Stegostoma tigrinum: one gene and its partner. The protein of the gene in region 2 interacts with the protein of the main gene of each other region in a pairwise test. Links are inferred from orthologs where the notes say so. Each region holds a gene or a part of one and is shown on either strand. Other genes may lie near its edges.

Region 1 (10,912 bases), about 290 kb from region 2:
AAATATAATGAGGAAATTGTTCCAATAAGTCAACTTTCCCAAAAATGTACCATTTAAATTGCACGAATTTGAATGATCCATGATCCACAACATTTTACAAACTTAGCTTATGTTTTACAAATCTCTTCCGTTCTGGAATATTCTTTGCTGCTCTTCTGTGAAATCATAAAATAAGCAATCAAATTCTTCAAATATTTGTAGCTGTACAAGGTCACTCCCAGATGTGTTTGGGGTTTTTAGAGACAACGCTTGTGAAATGACCTTGCTGATCCACAAAATATTCAGCTGCAGTTAATTTTGCTAAGTATTAATGGCATCAATGAAATTTCCTTTAGAATTTGCAGAGCGAAGAGTGGAACGCAGGGCCAGGAAATTACCAATCTTCAAAATATATGAGGGGTGTTTCTCCTCCGTCATGAGGTTTCCCTTGGAGGATTTTCTTGAATCAAGACTGCCCTGAGGCACTGAAAGGCATTGCTTGTTCTGTCATTTGCTAATTAGTAACAGTCTGGCTGTGTGGGGATCTGTACTGAATCACTGATATGAACAATGATTGTTGACCATCATTCACTTCTGCAAGTTACCAAACTGTTCTGTATGGTCCTGAGAAATATGATCTCTCTCTCTCTCTCCATCACTTAGGAAACTAATTTCAATGCAAGTTTCAAAACTCAAGTGCATGGAAATATTTGTACATTTATTATAAGTAATGTTTAAGACAGAATTGAATTTTTAGATTAGCGCCATACATTTTGAAGCATGCTTCTGAAAACCATATTATAGTTTTAAGACTTTACTTAGATTAAATTGTTTCAATGTTGAAAAGAACGTTAATATGAAACAAATCAGAAATGTGGCTGGATCTCAAAGCAAAGAGAATGCTAATGACGTACAGAAGTACGGGGTGGCATGGTGGTTCAGTGGTTCGCACTGCTACCTTACAGCACAAGGACCTAGGGTCAATTCCAGCTTTGGGTGACTGTGTGTGGTGTTTGCACATTCTTCCTGTGTCTGTGTGGGTTTCTACCAAGTGCTCTGGTTTCCTCCCACAGTCCAAAGATGTACAGGCTAAGTGGATTGCAATGCTAAATTGCCCTGCACTGTCCAGCGATGTGGAGGCTTGGAAGGTTAGCCATGGTAGATGTGGGGATACAGGGATGGGAGTGGCTCAGGGTGGGTACTCTTCAGAGGGCTGGTGCAGACTTGATAGGCCAGATGGCTGCTTTCTGCACTGTAGGGATTCTATGATGAGAAATAGATGAACAGTATGTGTTAATGATAGTTTTTTTACCTGATGCTAAATCATAGTTGAGTTACATGTAGAGAATCATCCCATTTTACTCTTAGTGGACATTATTGACCAAAGGATTCTGATGTATTCCATTGATTAATGTATTCTAGAGTTACACATTTTAATCTTTCTGTTACAAAGCAAGATGTTGATCAAAAAACGCAGGCATTAGCAATGTGTAAAGCATTTAGGTGAAGGATTGATACGAGTGAATGGGAAATTATTTCAGTATGATGTCAGTTTCTATACTTTTTACCTTCTCCTAATACACATGGGGAGGCAATTGCCAAGTGGTATTATCGCTGGACTGTTAATCCACTGGCCGAGATAACATTCTGGAGACCTGGGTTTGAATCCTGCCATAGCAGATGGTGGAATTTGAATCCAAAAAAAATCTGCAATTAAGAATCTAATGATGCCCATGAATCTGTTGCAGGTTGCTGGAAAAACAAATCTGGCTCACTAATGTCCTTTAGGGAAGGAAACTGCTATCCTTACCTGGTCTGGCCTCCATGCGATTCCAGACCCACAGCAATGTGGTTGCCTCTTAACTGCCCTCTGGGCAATTAGGGATGGACAATAAATACTGCCTAACCTGCAATGCCGTGTTTCCATTAATGAATAAAGATGTGGTGCGCTGTGTTGTGAATAAAAAGAGCTGAATCTGAGCCCTTAAACATTGTGCTCCCTTAAAATTAAAGCAAAAACTGTGGATGTTGCAGATCCAAACTAAAACAATATGCTGGAGAAACTCAACAGATCAGGCAGCATTTGAGGAGAGAGATACAATGAGTATAATAATGGTTAGACTGTCTGGACACCCACATCCTTCACTTGAATTTTGAAAATCAAGAGATGTTTTTTAGTGATAGGAACGAATCTTCACATGCAGAGAGAATCCCAGCTGGTGGAAAGCAGGCAGTTAAATTACAGCACGAGATTTTTAATCAAATTCATTCTTAAGACATGGCCATCACTGGTTAGTGTTGACTTATTATCTATCCCCAGCCACCTTTGAAACAGAACTGTCAACCTTTTCTTGACTTGTTATAGTCCATATGGTTTCCTCAACCCTGATAGCATCGGGCTCCTAGTGAAGCACCAATGTGATATCAGAAATGGCATAGCAATGCAAGGCAACGATGCTGAGAACATGCAGATAGATGCTGAGAGAATGAGTGCTAAGAGAGCAAGGGAGCAACCCAAGATTTAATCTGGTCCTGTCCATCAGTTGGGGGCCTGGTGCTTGCTGCTTGAACGTGGGCATTTCAATGATGTCAAACTTAAAAGTAAGGATGTTACAAAAGGCCAATTGCTGGATGAAGGGGAACCAATATTCATCCAACACCCATTGCTTCATCATTTGTCATGCACATATAACAATGGTTTGTACTAAACACTGTAAGGAGATGAGCATTTGATGTCGGTCGAGAATAGAAAATGTTTTGGGGCATGCAAGATCTTCCCTCAATGACAATTTTTGGCCTTCAGCATATGCCACCTTCACCAAAATAAAACAAAACAAAAAAAAACTGCAGATTCTGGAGACCTGGAACTCCATTCTGTTGAAGAATGTCTGGACTTGAAACATTAGCTCAGCTTTCTCCCCACAGATGTTGTCAGACCTGATGGGGGATCTGTCTTCTGAGCAGGACAAGGGCAATGAGGAGGAGGAAGCTGACATTTCCCTTGAAAGAGATCAGCTGCTTTGGGTGCCATAAGCTGGACAAGACCTTACTTGGTTCCAATAGAATCTAACAATTTTGCCAATCTAACCACAATTATACCCACTGGTATGGCACATAATTATGGATTGTGAAATATTTATTGGCTATGATACCTAAATCAGGTATGCATTGTTAAGGAAATCCTCAGCTTCTATTGGTTTCATTTACACTTGTTTTTTTCCATCAGTAAATAAACAGTTATGTTTGGAATTGTCCAATTGCTTCCTTGTATGTGATACTCCTCTCCTGGAATTGGGCGGGGTATTGAGTACAAGAGTTGGCAGGTCATGTTGCAGTTGTATAGGACTTTGGTTCGGCCACATTTGGAGTACTGTGTACAGTTCTGGTCGCCACATTACCAAAAGGATGTGGATGCTTTGGAGAGGGTGCAGAGGAGGTTCACCAGGATGTTGCCTGGTATGGAGGGTGCTAGCTATGAAGAGCGGTTGAATAGATTAGGATTATTTTCATTAGAAAGATGGAGATTGAGGGGGGACCTGATTGAGGTCTACAAAATCATGAGGGGTATAGACAGGGTGGATAGCAAAAAGCTTTTTCCAGATTGAGGGACTCAATTACTAGGGGTCATGAGTTCAAAATGAGAGGAGGAAAGTTTAAGGGAGATATGCATGGAAAGTTCTTTACACAGAGGGTGTTGGGTGCTTGGAACGCATTGCCAGCGGAGGTGGTAGACGCAGACACGTTAGCATCTTTTAAGATATATTTGGACAGGTACATGGACGGGCAGGGAGCAAATGGACACAGACCGTTAGAAAATAGATGACAGGTTAGACAGAGGATCTTGATCGGCGCAGGCTTGGAGGGCCGAAGGGCCTGTTCCTGTGCTGTAGGTTTCTTTGTTTCTTCTTTGTTTCTTTGACAAGTTTGTAGTGTTCAAATGGGATGTAACAATGGGCAGGTAGTGTATGATGTGGTGACTAAATAGTGCCAAGGAAGATAGAATAACGTTGCATATGCAAGGGAGTGTCAACTATATGTTGTGGGCATTGTGGCTTTGGTGATATTCCATTACGCTGCCAGCATGAGGCAGTGCTGGATTGCCAATTTTCATCTGCGTTAACAGCGCCCTCTCAAAGATGGTACGGGCAGCAACGATGCTAGTCTTTTGATAGGCACCTGCTGATTGTTGAATTGCTCTGGGGACCACGTGTGGTAAGCTGAGAGTGGAATCAGCTTTGATGGACATCGTAGGGAATAGGATAGGTAGGTAATGCGGCGAGTTTGGTAAGATGTGAACATAGAACATTACAGCACAGTACAGGCCCTTTGGCCCTCGATGTTGTGCCGATCTGGCATACTGATCTCAAGCCCATCTAACCTACACTATTCCATGTACATCCATATGCTTGTCCAATGACGGCTTAAATGTACCTAAAGTTGGCGAGTCTACTACTGTTGCAGGCAAAGCGTTCCATTCCCTTACTACTCTCTGAGTAAAGAAACTACCTCTGACATCTGTCCTATATCTTTCAGCCCTCAATTTAAAGCTATGCCCCCTCGTGCTCGCCATCACCATCCTAGAAAAAAGGCTGTCCCTATCCACCTATCTAACCCTCTGATTATTTTATATGTTTCAATTAAGTCACCTCTCAACCTTCTTCTTTCTAATGAAAATAGCCTCAAGTCCCTCAGCCTTTCCTTGTAAGACCTTCCCTCCATACCAGGCAACATCCTAGTAAATCTCCTCTGCACCCTTTCCAAAGCTTCCACATCCTTCTTATAATGCGTTGACCAGAGCTGTACGTAATACTCCAAGTGCGGCCGCACCAGAGTTTTGTACAGCTTCACCATAACCTCTTGGTTCCGGAACTCAATCCCTCTATTAATAAAAGCTAAAACACTGTATGCCTTCCTAACAGCCCTGTCAACTTGGGTGGCAACTTTCAAGGATCTGTGTACATGGACACTGAAGTGGTGAGATAACTCACTAGACTTTGCAGCAGAAATCCCTCAAAAGAAACTCAACACAACTGGGAGTTAGCCAAGAACCATAAGATTCAACCAGGCGTCATTGTGACCCAACTGAGCAGAGAAGTGACTGGTACAAGACAAAACCTGGGCATGCTTTTCTCTTAACTCCCACAAAACTAGTTACGCAATGGTGGGAATTAACTGATTCGTTCATTGGCATTTCTCCCATTGTGTGGAATCTTGCACCTACCAACTGATCATAGGCTGGAAGCTGACAGCAAACATATAAATGATTCCAAAAGAGTTAAAATCTTCTGGATCTCAAGTGGTGAATTGTGGCATGGTTTCCTATCCAGTCCAACACTGGTTACACTGATCCCATTCCCTCTATATTCATTAAAATCACTCCCGTCAGACCTGCTAAAACCATGGTTTCAAGGCTTTCATAAAGTTGGATATTCTAAAGATGGATGCAACTTAAGACCTATAGCTGAATCCTTTTTCCTTCTGATATAGTGCAAGGTTCAGTGGTGTCAAAAAAGACTGTTCAGAATAATTCCTCCTATTTTAGTAGATTACCTCATACAAGAACAATAATTAGATTTTAATGTATGTGTCCCTGGATTATATTGGAGGGTCATAGCTGTATTCACAATGCCAAATTATTTTTATAGATATTTTCTAATCAACCTATACCTACACATCCCAGGATCAGGCCTCCTAGTTCAGATGTAAAGATACTACCATTGTCCCTCTAAGAACCCACCAACAAATACATCTTATAAATTTCTCCAGTGCAAATGGTTTTTATGAAAGTTGGATTGAAAATGAGAACTTAAGGTAAATAGCTTGGCATGAATGTTAAAAGCCAGTATCCCATGTTGTTGAAGGGCATTTAATTTTTAAAATTCTTTCTTGGCATGTGAACATAAATGAGCAGGCCAAAATTTACTACTCATTGCTAATAACCCTTGAAAATCTGATGATGAGCCAATTATGTGTCATTTTTATTTCTGCCAGCACTCAGCTCATTTATCCTTATAATTTATCCATTTTTGCACATGGAAACTAAACAATTAGTAATCGGCAATAGAGCCTAGAAGGTCTGATTGTCTTCAATTTACTTACTTTACATTCTCTATTTACAAATGATAAATGTGTACTGAAACTGTGGCATATCTATCCAAGGCCAGAAACAGAGCACAAGGCATATAACTAGAGGTACACAGTTAAAATCCTCCAGAGCACGTAAAAGATTTCAAAATATATTTTAATGTGGCCCCAAGAAATTGCGTCAATTGTCTTTGTTGCTTTATCGATTTTAAACCGTGTCATCAAAGAAGATTAACTAAAGATAAATAACACAGGTAGATGATCTGAACGCTAAAATCACTTGCAATTGCAGCATATGTGTAATTATATTGTACTAGGGCTGTTGAGGGCAGCCAACGTGCACATGTTTGGACATAGTGCATCATTCTATACATATGTGGTGACACAACAGAACAATTGAAGTTAGCTAATTGAGTATTTCCTTTCAGAGCTGTTAGGGAACATGTTTCATCGGCTCAGGTTTTATTTCTTGAATTTGATGTTAGCCAAGTGGGAAGGTAAAACTTATATGCCATACATGAAAGTGAATGTAGACTGGATGTCTCTTCATTCTGAAAAGTTCCTTTTCATTCCTTTCCTGACATGGCATTTGCAAAACAAACAAAATCTGGGGAAATGACTCAAATCTGTGTTTTCTTGCATTTATTCACAGAATGTGGGCATCTTTGGCTGGACCAGTATTTATTGCCCATCTCGCAAGTAAGAATCTGAAGTCACATGTTAAGCAGACCAGGTAAGGATGACAGATTTCCTCCCTTACAGGGCTTTAAGTGAACCAGATGGCATTCCCCGCCCAACAATTGACAATGGTTTCATGGTCATCATTAAATCCTTATTCCACATTCTTCATTGAATTCAAATTCCACCATCTGCCACAGCAGGATTTGAAGCCAGATCCCCAGAACATCAGCTGAGTTTCCTGGATTAATAGTCCAGTGATGCCACTAGGCCTCTACCTCCCTGCAAAAAGCTGCATTTAGTGCGTTATTCTGATTGGGGAGGATTTTGAAAATGAAGGCCACTTCTTTCTGGAGGAGGCTAGAGCTCAAAATTCACCTTGAGTGGTGGTGCCAAACAATGCTATCATAGCAGCTGCCACTTGTATGCAGAACCTCATCACCAGTTTCACTCGATATAATGGATCGCTGCTCTGGCATTACTTGTTTATGTCAGAACCTGGGACCAATTTCTGTTGCATGATGTGAAACATTAATATGCTGCCTGTAGTTGCCATGAATATTAAGTGGAGAGCAGTTGATAACCAGGACTTCTTGCTTTTAAATTTGTCCTACATTTTAGAAGATTTCTTACTTTCACATTATTTCCGGCTACTACAAGGCTTATGTGGTCAGATCGTTAGGTTTTAAAAAACAGTAACGTGCTGCAGCATTGTTGTTAATTCCTTTATTTTCCAAGATAATACTACCGTTATTTTTCCCTTATAGCCCTAATGCTTTCTTGTATATACTTTACACACCTCTTATGATGAGAAATTTGATCAAACCATCGAGAATTATTGTACTTAATTCTTCATTCACTCACATGTAATTGATGATTAATTTATTTTGGATAGCAGTACTATATATTGTTTTAAGTAAGTAATGTCTATTGTTTTTCCCTTCACTTCCCTCAGCTTGATTAAAGAGGTGGTTTGTAGGAAAGTAATTCTTCTGTTTATTTTGGTATGCAATAGATGGTACTGTTTACCAAACAAGTCCCTGTTGAATTCATTTTGGGACAAAGTGATAAAAATTGATTTTCTTTTTGCATGGATTTCATGTTTTTGACATAATTTCAGCTATAAACATCACCTCCAGCTCACTTCAAAGTTGTATTTCCTGGATTTGGAATACAATAATAAAGGGCCAGCTGGATGCTGTCTGATGTGGTGGGATTTGACAGGGGTGTTCCGGGTCATGAACCCATCCCTTGAGGGGAAAGAGACAGTGCTTCCAATTTTGATGAAGGTTGGCGTTAATCAATGAGAGCTTAGAAGTGGTGGCCAATTAGTGGCTTTAGTGAGGAGCAACAGTAGAGGCTGAAAAGCAGGTCACATTCTGGCCCAACTTACTGGTTTTATAAGCTTTTAAAAAAACGAAACCATTTGAACCTTCTGTTGGCTAAGGCATATGGATACCTGGAACTTTAGACAGCACAAGGAAACCTTCATGTAAAATTTCATTGCTGTGGAACAGATTTCCTTTAAAGTTTCCACTTTTCCTAAAATTCCACATTGTTGACGCTGCTCCCAACAAGGTTTTGTTTTATGTAGTTTCTAAGAGCTAGCAGCACCAACAAAAATGTTGCCACCTTAGAATGGGAGCTGTTTAAGTACCCCTTAGTTACCAGAAAGTGCCCAGTCATTATTGGGATTTTACTTCTCTCTGTTTCATATACTCTCCTCTCCCACCTCACAAAAATTATCGGAGTCAGGAATGGGGACATGGGAGTGTTACAGCACATAATGTGAGCACCACTTTTTCACTCCTATTTGCCACTCTAGCCCCTCACCTACGGACCCACCTGCCATCTATCCACTTACCTACCTTGCTTCCCTTCCTCATTTACCTGTTGTTAGCCTGTCCCTTCAAGTACGCATGTGCCACCCTGCTCTGTCACCCATTTATCTGCCATTCTAATTCTCTCACCATTCACCTGCCAACTTACCACCCCACTCAATTACTTGCCATTCTGCTACCTCCCTCACCTGGCAGCCTATACATTTGCCCATCTACCCATCACCCTTCTAGTTCACCTACCAGCCATCCTATCCCCTCATCCTCTTTCCTGCTACCTCCGGCTCTCACACACTTACCTGTCACACTATCCTCCCTCACCTATCTATCTGCCATCCGGCCACCCTAAACCCTCACACACTTACCTTCTCTTCGTAACTTATCTAAGTACCTTTGGGATCTTTAAACTATTTTTCACAGGAGACCAAATACTGAATGAATTCCTTGAGGGTCTCCTGAGATGGAGGCATCCAGGACAGGTTACACTCAAACGTTTGATTGTAAATATCACTACCAAGTAAGTGCGCAATCAGGATCATTGTTGGTCAGATCTGTCCAAGAGTAATCGGAAGACTTAGACCATTGTAATTTGATATTGGTTTTGGAATTTCATTTCTATCTGGGAATATGGAAATGGAATGACTTGTCAGATTGAATAAAAAGTGTTGAACGCATTCATTTAAACGTGTAATCGTTCCATTACCAACACACTGTGGCAGCCATATGTGCCATCTACAAAATACACTACGACCACTAACCAACGTTACTTTGAAAACATATTTCAAACCTGTGATCTCTATCACTTAAAAAAGACAAGGGCAGCAGATGCATGATAGAACTACTACTACTTGCAAAGTCTCCTCCAAACCACACACCACTCTCACTTGGAACTCTATTGCTACTCCTTTGCTGTTGCTGGGTCTAAATTCTGGAGCTTCATTCTTCAAAGCAGTGTTGGTGCACCGATCCTGCATAGATTGTGCCAATGTAAGAACGCAGGTGACCAGCACTCTCTGGTGAGCAATTAGGCATGGGCAACAAATGATTGCCAAGACAGTGATGGGTCATTTTCTGTGAAAAAATAACATTAAAGCCTTTAAGTACATTTCAAACTGACAAAATACAAATTGTTATCTTTCAAAGATAAAATGTCTACTCCATAGATTTTTCAGGAGCTGCCAACAATGTTGTTCTGTGCCAGCTGAAAGAACTGTGTCTACATTCAGCTACTTCCTTATTTCCAAAAGGACATTCCAAAATGCCCCCCTGTTGCTGGAACCCTCATCTGTACTCTTGTCACCACTGGACATGACTGTTTCAAAGCTCAGTGAACTTCACCTCCATTCTTTCAGATTTAAATTGGCTTGCTGCCTCTAATTGCCTCCCACTTAAACTCCTCATCATTATACTTAAATCTCTCAATAGCCTCACCCCTCTATATCTCTATAAATCTCTCCATCTGGAAAAAAATCTCCCAACAAAATCTCCAAACTATGTTGTTTCTCTGCTCCATTTCCCCGAAAGTTGCTTGTCTTAAATATGCACTGAAATCATGACAGAAATGATTAAATTTATCACTTATTATACTGAATCAATACAATTATTTTTGAATTGAAGTTTTGCAACAACTCTTTGAAAATTTTACTCAATACAACAAGATGTGACTAAATCCATGTTAATTATTTAAAACAGTTTGTTGTCAGCTAAGGAACCTTCTGGCCAAATGAATTTATTATTTGTTATTAGAAAACAGTTACAAGATTTGAAATCATTTGTTATTACTTGATGCAAAAGTTCACAATATAAACATGCAAATAAGATTGACTTGTATTCCTACAGTGTGATACACAATCACTTTATACTCAATAAAATAATTTAAAAGTGTAGAGGCAGCATCATAAAATGATACAGCTCAGATGGTTATTTGCTCTAATCTGACCATGACCACTCTTTGGGAAGACTGATGCAATTTGTCTCACTCCCCTGCTCTTTTCTGTAATTTATTTCCTTCAATTATGTATCCATTTCCCTTTCAAAGTTGCTATTAAATCTGCTACTATTTCAGGCATTCCAAATCATAGCAGTTTGCTTCTCACACTGTCATTTTTTTGTTAGTCCATCACTTAAACCTCTGCCCTCTGGTTACCAAACATTTTTTATTATTAATTTGTGGGAAGATGGTATCACTGGCTAAACCAGCATTTATTGCCCATCCCTAATTGCCCAGAGAGTGGTTAAGAGTCAACCGCTGTGGGTCTGGCATCACGTAAGCCAGATGAGGCAAGGATGGGAGTTTCCTTGCCTAAAGGACATCAGTGAACCAGATAGGATTT
Region 2 (11,216 bases):
CGATCCACCTAACCTGCAGATTTTTGGACTGTGGGAGGAAACTGGAGCACCCAGAAGAAACCCACGCAGACACAGGGAGAATGTGCAAACTCCACACAGACAGTTACCAGAGGCTGGAATTGTACACAGGTCACTGGCGCTGTGTGAGGCTGCAGTGCTAACCACTGAGCCACCGTGCCGTCCTTATTGCCAGACTAATTTTCACTACAGCTTCTATATACTAGGAGATTAAAATTACTTAACTCATAGTTAAACAGTCAAATCCAAAGGAGTTGCTGTGTATTTATCAAGTCCAGTTCCTTCACAGCTCAGTTAATCACCGGTTTAAATAGTACAGTTAAAACAAGAGATGGAAAGTTTAAATAACCTCAATACAAATGAGGACTCCATTCGATATGGAGCAAGCAATGCACAATAACAGATTTATTGTTTGGCATGCAACTTCAATGAGTTTAAAAATCTATTGACCATTTTCTTCATGTTCCTCTTCTGCATGGGGACCAGTTTCATGAATTAAAAGTTTAGATCAGTTAATATTTTAAAATAGGATGTTAAAGCAGTATTATAAAATACATGTACAGTCACACAAACTGAGGAGTTAAACAATGTCCAGTGGAGGAAACAGGTTTAAGACATTTAAGTACAAATAGACTTATAAGCAGAAATTTTGCTCTTAGGCTCATAATACCTGCATTCATCATTCTATATAAATGTTAAATGATGCAAACCAACATAAAATATTTATACAATTCATAAATAAATTACAGAACTTTGCAGTCTTTGAAATCTTTGATCAATTGAATTCATGTATGACAGAGTCTCTCCTGACTGCACAGTTCAAAATACCTGCCTTCATGATTTTGGTGCTGATGCACCCCCTGTTGAATTGAAACTGCTACAAAACAACTCATCCTCAACCCCACAAACAAAGACATTATTTCCCCAGACTACAGAATTAATCATAATAATTTTTTATTATTATTTAAAGAAACAATATTGTATAAATAAGATCAAAATGGCAGTTATATGATAGTTCAATGTTATAAATGGTCGCTCAATGTTATAAATGCATATAGGATTAGTATGGAATGTATAACTTTAGATTAATGACCTATGGATCTAATAATAAAGTGTTAAGATTTAGAGAAAAAAAATCCACCTTTTCATCATGATGATTCATTTATTTCCTTCAGGCAGGAACTGTTGAGATCTTGGGTAGAGTATTTGTGGATTGGAAGGCAGGATGATAAAATTTAATGATTGTAAAATGATCAGGGGTGGCAGGAATATTGCATGGTCCCTTTAAAAGCTTTTTTAAGGTTTTCAGATTTAAAAGAGCCTGCAGGCAGCAGCACACAGAGCATTCATGAAATTGAAACATTGTACCAAAAGGCTGTGCTGTCCGTAGGCAAAGCAGCATTTTTGCTGAAACAAGATAATAAAATGTGAGGCTGCATGAACAGAGCAGGCCCAGCAGCATCTCAGGAGCACAAAAGCTGACGTTTCGGGCCTAGACCCTTCATCAGAGAGGGGGATGATTTGAGGGTTCTGGAATAAATAGGGAGAGAGGGGGAGGTGGACCGAAGATGGAGATAAAAGAAGATAGGTGGAGAGGAGAGTATAGGTGGGGAGGTCAATCCAGGGAAGACGGACAGGTCAAGGAGGTGGGATGAGGTTGGTAGGTAGGAGATGGAAGTGCGGCTTGGGGTGGGAGGAAGGGATGGGTGAGAGGAAGAACAGGTTAGGGAGGCAGAGACAGGCTGGGCTGGTTTTGGGATGCAATTGGGGGAAGAGAAGAGCTGGGCTGGTTGTGTGGTGCAGTCGGGGGAGGGGACGAACTGGGCTAGTTTTGGGATGCGGTGGGGGAAGGGGAGATTTTGAAGCTGGTGAAGTCCACATTGATACCATTGGGCTGCAGGGTGCCCAAGCTGAATATGAGTTGCTGTTCCTGCAACCTTCGGGTTGGTTCCGCTCGGTTCGCAATAAACAACTGCACCTCCCAGTTGCAAACCATTTCCACTCCCCCTCCCATTCTTTAGATGACATGTCCATCATGGGCCTCCTGCAATGCCACAATGATGCCACCCAAAGGTTGCAGGAACAGCAACTCATATTCCACCTGGGAACCCTGCAGCCTAATGGTATCAATGTGGACTTCACCAGCTTCAAAATCTCCCCTTCCCCCACCGCATCCCAAAACCAGCCCAGTTCGTCCCCTCCCCCCACTGCACCACACAACCAGCCCAGCTCTTCCCCTCCACCCACTGCATCCCAAAACCAGTCCAACCTGTCTCTGCCTCCCTAACCTGTTCTTCCTCTCACCCATCCCTTCCTCCCACTCCAAGCCGCACCTCCATCTCCTACCTACTAACGTCATTCCACCTCCTTGACCTGTCTGTCTTCCCTGGACTGACCTATCCCCTCCCTACCTCCCCACCTATACTCTCTCCAACTATCTTCTTTTCTCTCCATCTTCGGTCCGCCTCCCCCTCTCTCCCTATTTATTCCAGAACCCTCACCCCATCCCCCTCTCTGATGAAGGGTCTAGGAGAAACAACAGATTTTTGAATTTAGCCAATGCACTTAAACCAGGCCAGAGTTACCAAAACTCAACCAAATTTTAATCTCAGAGATAATGGGAACTGCAGATGCTGGAGATTCCAAGATAATAAAATGTGAGGCTGGATGAACACAGCAGGCCAAGCAGCATCTCAGGAGCACAAAAGCTGACGTTTCGGGCCTAGACCCTTTTGACAACCGAGTACCAATCCTAGTAGCCCAGCCTATTCAGCCTCTCCCATTAGATCAAACCCTTGAACCCTGGCTACATCCTTGCAAATTTGTCAATGAAAGTAGGGAAGGTCTCGTTGGATGGGAATTAAACAAACATGGACTAAATAATCTGAGTTGTTATACAAGGAATAAACTGGAAGGTTGCCTTTATGAAATAACTGCCTGAATAACTTCCTTGATTTTATTTCTCTAGGAACTGACATTCAAGTGCATCTTAGGAAGTCTTATTATGTACATATCTTACATATCTTGATTTTCAGAAGGTGGCTCATGTCAGATGTGGAAAAGCTAATTAATCTGTTACCTGTTGTCAAATGCAATCTAAATTGATCAAACTTGTGAATAATAAATGAGCCAGAACAGTAGAATGTGATAAAATAACCAAGAAGTTAACATGGACAAAATCTTTCTAAATAGTCAAACTGTGCGAGATTAACTTTAATACAGAAATGGCACAACACTCATCGCTGTAAGAAACGATTGGAAAAATTCTCAAATGATTGAAGCTAGACTAGTTAGTCGGGGACACAATAAGCTCTGGCAATGATAGTGCTATGAGAGCTATGCTAATTTTTTTTACTGTATCGTTTGGTTTGGTGCTTTGGATTGTGAGCTGGGGGTTGGCGGTGATGTTTGAACTGTGAGCAACAGCTTGATTTGTTTTGGAAGGGCAGGAAAACTGATATTTGTTTATGAGGTCAGGTCTCGCAGATAATTACAGGTTGATTCTTGTTCCAAGTATGTTATAGACATTGAACTTTATAGACATTTAACTCCAGAGAGGCATTATACTCAAACAAATGACAGGTGTTGAATGTTAAATAGCCTTACAGAAAGGCTGGTACGAAGAGAATGTCGGGAAAAAAAGAAAGGGAAACCAAAGTTTGCACTGGTTTTGAACAGAGGTTTTTTTTAAACCAGATGATTGTGGCCATCTAACCTATAGCGGGAATTATTGATTGCTCCCTGATTATCCTTCTGTATTCAACTTATTGAAAGTTCAGAGAATAGAACCTCAGTTATAGGAGTTAAGCAAATATTCCTCAGAGTCTAGTGGAAGCTGTTTACATTAACTGGTGTCTTCATAAAACCAAACAAGATGCAATCCCATGTGCTTGTGATATTATTGATCATAGATACTGCTTAAGTGAGATGGCCAGTTACATCTCATTTATTCTCCTATTGATTAATCCCTTAACTGTGTCTGTTTGTCAGTCAATCTTTCTGTGAATACAGTCTAGAACCGAAGAAGATTGCGTTTAAATTATAGCCATTAATTAGAATACCTTGTTCTTTCACTGTTCTCTGCTAAAACTATATATTAGTAATAAATTGATAATTCTTTTGTTTAGGCTATAAACCTGGTGTGTAGTATCAGTTATTCACTCAGGTTATTTAAAAAAAAAAGTCTTGTTAAGAGCCATTGGGCTAATTTTGAGGGTCTTTGTGTATTTCATTTTTCTGTTGCAAATACACAGATAGGGAGGCAGATTTTGATTTGGCTCACTGCCTCTGCGTCATAACAGTAGTAATCTTGACATGAACCATATCTTGGCATAATCGATAAAAGCAGCACAATTCAGAACTATATGTCAAACTAATAGAAGCAGTTAAGCCGAAAAAATAAGTGTGTTCTGTTCAGGCTGCATCAGCATTCAACTCAGGGGATTACAACTTGTCCTGTAGCCAGTGCAAAATAAAGGACTACATTACAGAATCCAGAGGACTTCGTTCTGAGAAAAAAAAATGAAAAAGGCTTCCATTCATTCAACTTTAAAAGACAAATATTAGGCTTCCTTATAGATATATACGTTACAAGGTGAAACAGAAAAGGTTAACTTAATGCAATTCAGTATTTCATGTTAAATGATGAATGCAAAGCACAGACAACTTCAAAAACTGATTTAAAAATATATAAGACCAATGTCAGAATTTATTGATTTTCAAAGAATGGTTAACACCAGGGATGGAATTTTAAGTCGGGGAAGTAAAAATTACACAGTTAAAGCATGAGACTGATAAATGTTGTGTTAAAGATATCTTTGCTTTATGAAAATTGACTTGGATGATTAAATTGTCTCTCTCTTTTCTATTTTTCTTCACTAAATTACCAAGAAAAACATGAAATAATCTGAAGTGGAAAAATAACGTACATACCTTCGACTTCTTCTTCTGTTATAACAGGCAAATGGAATACAAGGAAACATATTTATTACAGGTAACTAGAGCATTCCTTTTGAAAAATGTGGAAGTGAAGTATTTTCATTTTCAGCTTCTTACCTTCTTGTTCCCTGAAATATAACAATAACCTTTTAAAAATCTCCTCAAATAGTCTGCAAGTTGGCTGAGCAGTGACTGAACTGTGTGAAACAGAGAAGCCCTAGATTCACCACCTAACTTATGTTAAATTACAGCTGTGATACTAACATAAACTGAAATTGACCTTAGGCCCTTTGGGTTAGGGAGAGAAAAGTTAGACCAGGAGTGCTAATCATGAGAATTTTCACCAATAACATTGCACATCTGTAGTAGTTAAGAGATGGTAGATTTGCACTTCATTATGACACTTTCACCAACATTATAGCTACTGAAATAGGAGGTCAAGGCTCTCTCATGTAAAATGGCTTTTTGGGTGAGGTACTGGGTAAAAAGTCAGTGACTCCAAGAAGGGAATGCTTTGGAATGAATTTGGTATGAAAATATCACAAATAGTACACTGAACAATTGAAAACATTTAAGCAATGAGAAGTCAAAGACAAAGGTAACAGAATAAAAGATTATAATTGTAACAACTGAGAATTATACTTACTCAATTTCCTCCACACAGTCTTCCGTGTCTGACATATTTAAAGATAATTTCTTGTGGCTGAAAAGATAACAGTCATAATGAATTTCTGCCACATTGCTTCAGAAATGAAAACAAGCTAATGTGTACATACTACCAAATGAAAGAGTTTGCAGAAGGATGTTCATGCAAACATAAAGATGCAGATTTTACAAAATTCCAAATGGGTTAAATTGACTACTGCTGCAATTCCTTTTGGAGATCAGTATAACATGCTGAGGTTCAGATCTTTTTGATAGGAAACTATTTGCCTTTGTTGAAAAGAAACAAAACACAACTGGGAAGAATTTCCCAGGGACATGGTTTGGGGAGTCAGTGAAATTGTATTTCAATTGCATGGTTGAGGCAGGTGAAAACCTCAATGCAGATGTCTGCGACTAGAAACTTCAATGTCTGCCATTTGACCTTGGCCTTGGTCCTCATCGGCACTCTATGTAGGAGTTCCACTTAGTTTTTTTTTTAACAAAGCTAGTTGTCATTTTTCAGGAGAACACCACTGGTCTAGACCCTGCCATTGGGACATACATCTAACTATTCAGTCAAGTAACCCTCTTGGGTACATTGAGTCTTGAGCAAGCAATGGTGACAGAGACTCTCAGTAAATGATCCTCCATCAGTTTCCTTCCCAAGGTGTTCCTGCCTTAAAAGGCCAGTCAAAGGATTCTGGAAACCACAAAGTTATATAACCATGTCACTAATATTTGCTTGAGGTAGACAGAAGTTCACTATTATCCTGCCAGAAGATCAGCAGAACTGAGGAGTCTGGCTCTAAAATAACAGATGACTCATATGGATGTTTATTCACAATGCTTTCTAGTTTCAACCAATTGACCAATTTTGGAAAGCTATAAAATATTAAATATTTTGATTCTGATTTAAGTCAGGCTCTGGTTTGTAGTACCTATTGCTATAATCAATATGATATTGCATGTGTTCCATATTTTCCTGGCATTGAAAATGCTCATGTTAGCAAAACTATAATAAATTTAAAGGGATGAAAATTGTAAGTGGTTGATTATGGAGATAAGGCTAATTGGCAACATATAGAAAGAGAATTAACACTAATTCCTATTTAAGGATCTGTAATTGGATTGAAATTTTGGCTGACATAAACCCAGTTGTGGAGTCCCTTTGTGGTATCTTCTCTGGGTGTGTTTTTTGATGGGTGGGCACATAATGTAGAATTGGTGCCCAGCTGTGTAACATCCCATCCATCCATAGGCTCACTCCCACAATACAGCGGTTAGGGAGTCAAATCAGGCAGTCTGTTTATCATATGTGAATAAATATGAGTCAATTGAACTTGTTAAAAAGCTTAATTGATCCTCATAATACGCTGCCCATGCCAAAATATGGTTTGTGGGAGCACTGGACACAATTGGGCAAGCCTTCTTTGTAAGAATTTTAATAATTGGTGGGAAGAAAGTGGGAATACTATGTTCAGGGTATGCTCTTTGCAAATCAGGGACATCCTTTCTGAATGTTGTACCGCTCCTTCCTTCCCTCAAATAAGTTCCAAAAACTACACTCCATTAAGCCTGCTTCTACAGCTCATCAAGCTTTGTTAGCTCCCTTCGCCAAACAATACCTTAGACTTGTCTCTCTCCAGGATAGACACTGTCTTCTCTGAAGGTAGGCCTTCCTGCAGTTCTAGCAGCACCACCACTGTGGTCATGGTGTTGCTGGAGCTGCTACTCAACCAAATCAGCCAGAAGCTCTTGAGGAGATGTGGCAAAGAATGCAACTAAGTGAATTGCACATTCCAAGGGCCAGTGCATACATGGCAGGCTGAATGGCCTCTTTCAGATCTGTAAAAATTGTGTGATTCTATGATTCTGTACATTCAAACAGCCTATCCAAGAATGAATATTCTTAAAGAATAAAATTCACAATGGAAAAATCCAGAAGTACAAATTTATTGACTTTAATTCTGTCATGTATTTTTGGGTAGCTAAGTGTTCAAAGCGCTGAAACATTTAATTCTTTTGAACTAATCAATATAAATACGTTTGTTTAATGTTTAAATATTTTTATACTGAAGGAAAAGAATTATAAAGGTCCAATGTAAAAATCTTTTCCAAAGTAAAAGTTTAAATTTTTTCTAGAGCACTTCACACTACAAAGGAATTTTTAAATGCATATTTATGTCAGTACTGCATTTAAAGGTAACCATTGCTGTTGGAGGTCATTGAGCAGTGATGCCTGCTTTCAAGTGGCCTACTTACCACTCTACATAACTGAAATAATTGCAATTCTTTGACCTTTTAAAGAGAAATGTTTTATGAAGAATTTTATCTTTTCAGATAAGAAAGGCCAGTAATAGGGTGTAATCTCATTCATTAAAGCCTTAACCACAAAAGCAATTAAAATACATTTCAGTGTTCAAGGGTGAGAAAACTTAGTAAAATATGGTCTTTTGTTCATGAATTTCAATATTGTTGGATCTGATTCTCAAAATCATATTTAAATGTCATATATGCCTGTGATTTCCCTTGTCAGTATATTATGGTGAAAATACACATACTGAATGTTAGTAGGGTTTAATTATCCTGTATCTATAATGCAAGCATCTGGTAGCCAAAATCCTAAATGTCAGCAGCTTTGATCTTTGAGTTGTGAGACCAGTAACACAATAACATTTACACTAAGTTCAGCGCTAAGTATAGCTTTGATTAATGTCAGTATGTACAGATTTAATCATCCTAGTCACCAAAAGGCTTCTAATTGTAGAGCTATTTGCAAATCGCACAAAAAAGAACAAAATAAAGATGTCGCCTACTTTGTTAAAAATGTCACTTGAATATTCCACAAAAAATAATTTCAAATCATAACCAAATAAGATCACATCATATTGTAATTAAGTAATTTGGGAAAGAAATGAAAATTCTTACCGAGAAGAAAGGAGCACAAATAGCACCACAGCTGACTTGTAAATATCTGAGAGTTTACTTCGGAATTTTGTGCTTAAAATCCAGTCCAGCCCTAAGACCAGAGTATTTGCTGATTGGTGAGACAGGGTTGAAGTGTGACATATTCTATTTTAGAAAGATGTTGGTTTCCCTGTTCTGAACAGAAGCACCACTCACTAATCCATAAAAGACCATCGCTTTGTCATGGCCCATGAGTCTTACTATTCTTAGATGTCAGTATGATGTGTCACTGGAAATGCACAAATGTGTTTTGGGGGATGGAGAGGGGTTGGAAACATAATAATACAGGAGGCAAGTAACAGCAAAATATATGATTAAAATAACAAGCTCAACAATGGTTAATTTTTAACTTTATCACCAGAAGAGGGAGGAATCCAACCTATCTTTACAGCTGTGCAAGTCAATTTTTATGCTGAGATATCTGATTTCAGAAACAAATAACAATTGTTCCTATGGAGAAAAAAGTGTTTGAAGCATTGGCTAATTTTGCCATTTCATGGAGATTCTTGTGAAATCTTCAAAAACTAGTGAATCAGATTACAATCCTTTATTCCATCTTGTATTATGTCCTGTATAACTTTATAATGTGCAATTCTCATTTTTTTTTCTCCTTCCTGATTCCATAACAATATCCTGTAGACAACAAATTGCTTTATTGCTTATTGGTTTGAGCTGCAGTGAACCAATTAAAAACCAATGAAGTCTTTGAATCAAAGATAAAAGTACTGGATACATTTTATAAAAAAAATCAATTATGTCACATAAATTATCTACTTTATCGAATAGTATCAGTTAAGTTGAATTTTGTGTAATTATCCCTATAATAACAATTGCGAACATTTAGAATAGTGATCTGGCTGTACCAAGAATCAGTCTGTGTTTAATCAAACAAACCTTAATGAGCTTCAATTTAAACAGGAACTATCCTCACTTTTGTAAAGTTATTCAAAAGTGTCTTTGTTCATAAATATAATTTTAAATGACTGCATAATTAACATTTCAATTTGTAGAATAAAGCTAAATTTAGTTTGGAGCGAAATGTGGAATGATTATTCGGGAAGTGTATTTACGTTTACAATCCACTAGATTTGTGATGAGAACACTCCTTCCTTCTAAACCCTAAGGTCCTAAAAGTTATCAAACCAAAAAGAAAAGACTTTTAGTGATGTGTAAATGGCACCAGCTCAGATTTACCTTTTTTTTAAGAAAAGAAACAAAATCCAGATTAAATTTTCAAATACTGATTGCTTAGCATAACGTTTTAAGTCAATTGGCTAGTAGCAAAACATACCGCAAGAGACTGTAAACACTTAGTATCTTGGTTACTTTCTGGAGGCTGGAAATGAGCATTGAGAAATTATACATCAACGTGGAATTAGAGCTAGTCTAGCCGCTATTTTCCAATTTTAAACAGCTAAGGTCCAATTCCTAAAAGATACTTTTACAATGAGGATCCATCTTTACTACAGCAATAACTGTGGTAGTATATTAGTGAAAAAAAGAAAGGCAAGTATATTCACTCTACACTATTTTGATCATTTTTCAATCACGACATACAGACATGTTGTGGTAAAGTTCCTTCTAAGCTGCTTGGCCAGATCACGAGAATTTACATGAGCTTTCAAGTTACTGTCTTTAATATATCATGCATGCACAGATGTGCAAAATTAAAAAAAATTGCTTTTAAACAAATTGTACATACCAGAAACTCTTTAGAGAGTATGTTGCAGGCCACTTATTGATTTCTTTGCTTTGCATTCAATAACTTCAAGCAGTCAACTAATAGAGACCATATGTCAAACCCTTGTGAAGTCGATATGCACAATACAGGAAAGTTAAAATAAACCTCCAACAGACCAAACTTTGAAATGAATTGATTATAAAAAGAAGTTAACAATTCGAACAATAAGCTTTTTAATTGTGCTATGAACAAGCAGCTATCACAAAATACAATTTCCTGCTTCTGGGATTTGAATGAGGCAAACAGACACCTTATAATAAACTGGTTTTCTTGTAGAAGTAAATTACTGCATAACTAAAATTTCAATTTGTAGGATAAAGCTAAATTTAGTTTGAAGAGAAATGTGGAATGATTACTGGGGAAATGTTGGAATTCTCTGCGAGTAGTCATTGTGAAGAAGAGAGAACAGCTGTCCCTATTTTTGGAAGCATCTCCCGTTCTTTCTGTTATCACCTTTCAAAACAACTTAATAATGTCCTTTCACAAAGCTAAAGCAGGTTTTGCTAATTTAGGAGAGGAAGGAATGGATCGTGTATCAAATCACATTCACTGAATCAAAGCCAACCATTAGTCCCAGAGCCACAAAAGATAAGAATTTGAATGGATCTCAACACTAAATTAAGACTAGAAGGGTCTCGACCCAAAACATAGCTTTCCTGCTTCTCTGATGCTGCTTGGCCTGCTGTGTTCATCCAGCTCTACACCTTGTTATCTTATATTCTATGTAACTTTGTTTTTTCTCCTGTCAAGTGAGGCATGGCAGCAGTATGAAGTAGAACTATTTACATCTCAAAGTGAATACAGTGTTTTCTCAGCACAGATAGCATGGAGTTTAAAATACCCTCAAATTAGCCTCTGTAATCTTCCAAAAAACCTAACTGTTAAAGAATATCACTAACAAATAAAT

The links.
Region 1: the proteins of troponin T, cardiac muscle (region 2) and troponin I, slow skeletal muscle interact in binary tests that used the Homo sapiens proteins (3 or more experiments, as listed by UniProt). The link is inferred for Stegostoma tigrinum from reciprocal best matches to the Homo sapiens genes TNNT2 and TNNI1.

The regions. Positions count from the first base shown.
Region 1 is NC_081374.1:32,237,528-32,248,439, reverse strand, and holds the start of troponin I, slow skeletal muscle, read left to right. Parts: upstream 1-6,715; 5' UTR 6,716-6,716; coding exon 6,717-6,796; intron 6,797-10,912. UniProt on the Homo sapiens protein: Troponin I is the inhibitory subunit of troponin, the thin filament regulatory complex which confers calcium-sensitivity to striated muscle actomyosin ATPase activity.
Region 2 is NC_081374.1:31,949,833-31,961,048, forward strand, and holds the start of troponin T, cardiac muscle, read right to left. Parts: upstream 4,978-11,216; 5' UTR 4,951-4,977; intron 1-4,950. UniProt on the Homo sapiens protein: Troponin T is the tropomyosin-binding subunit of troponin, the thin filament regulatory complex which confers calcium-sensitivity to striated muscle actomyosin ATPase activity.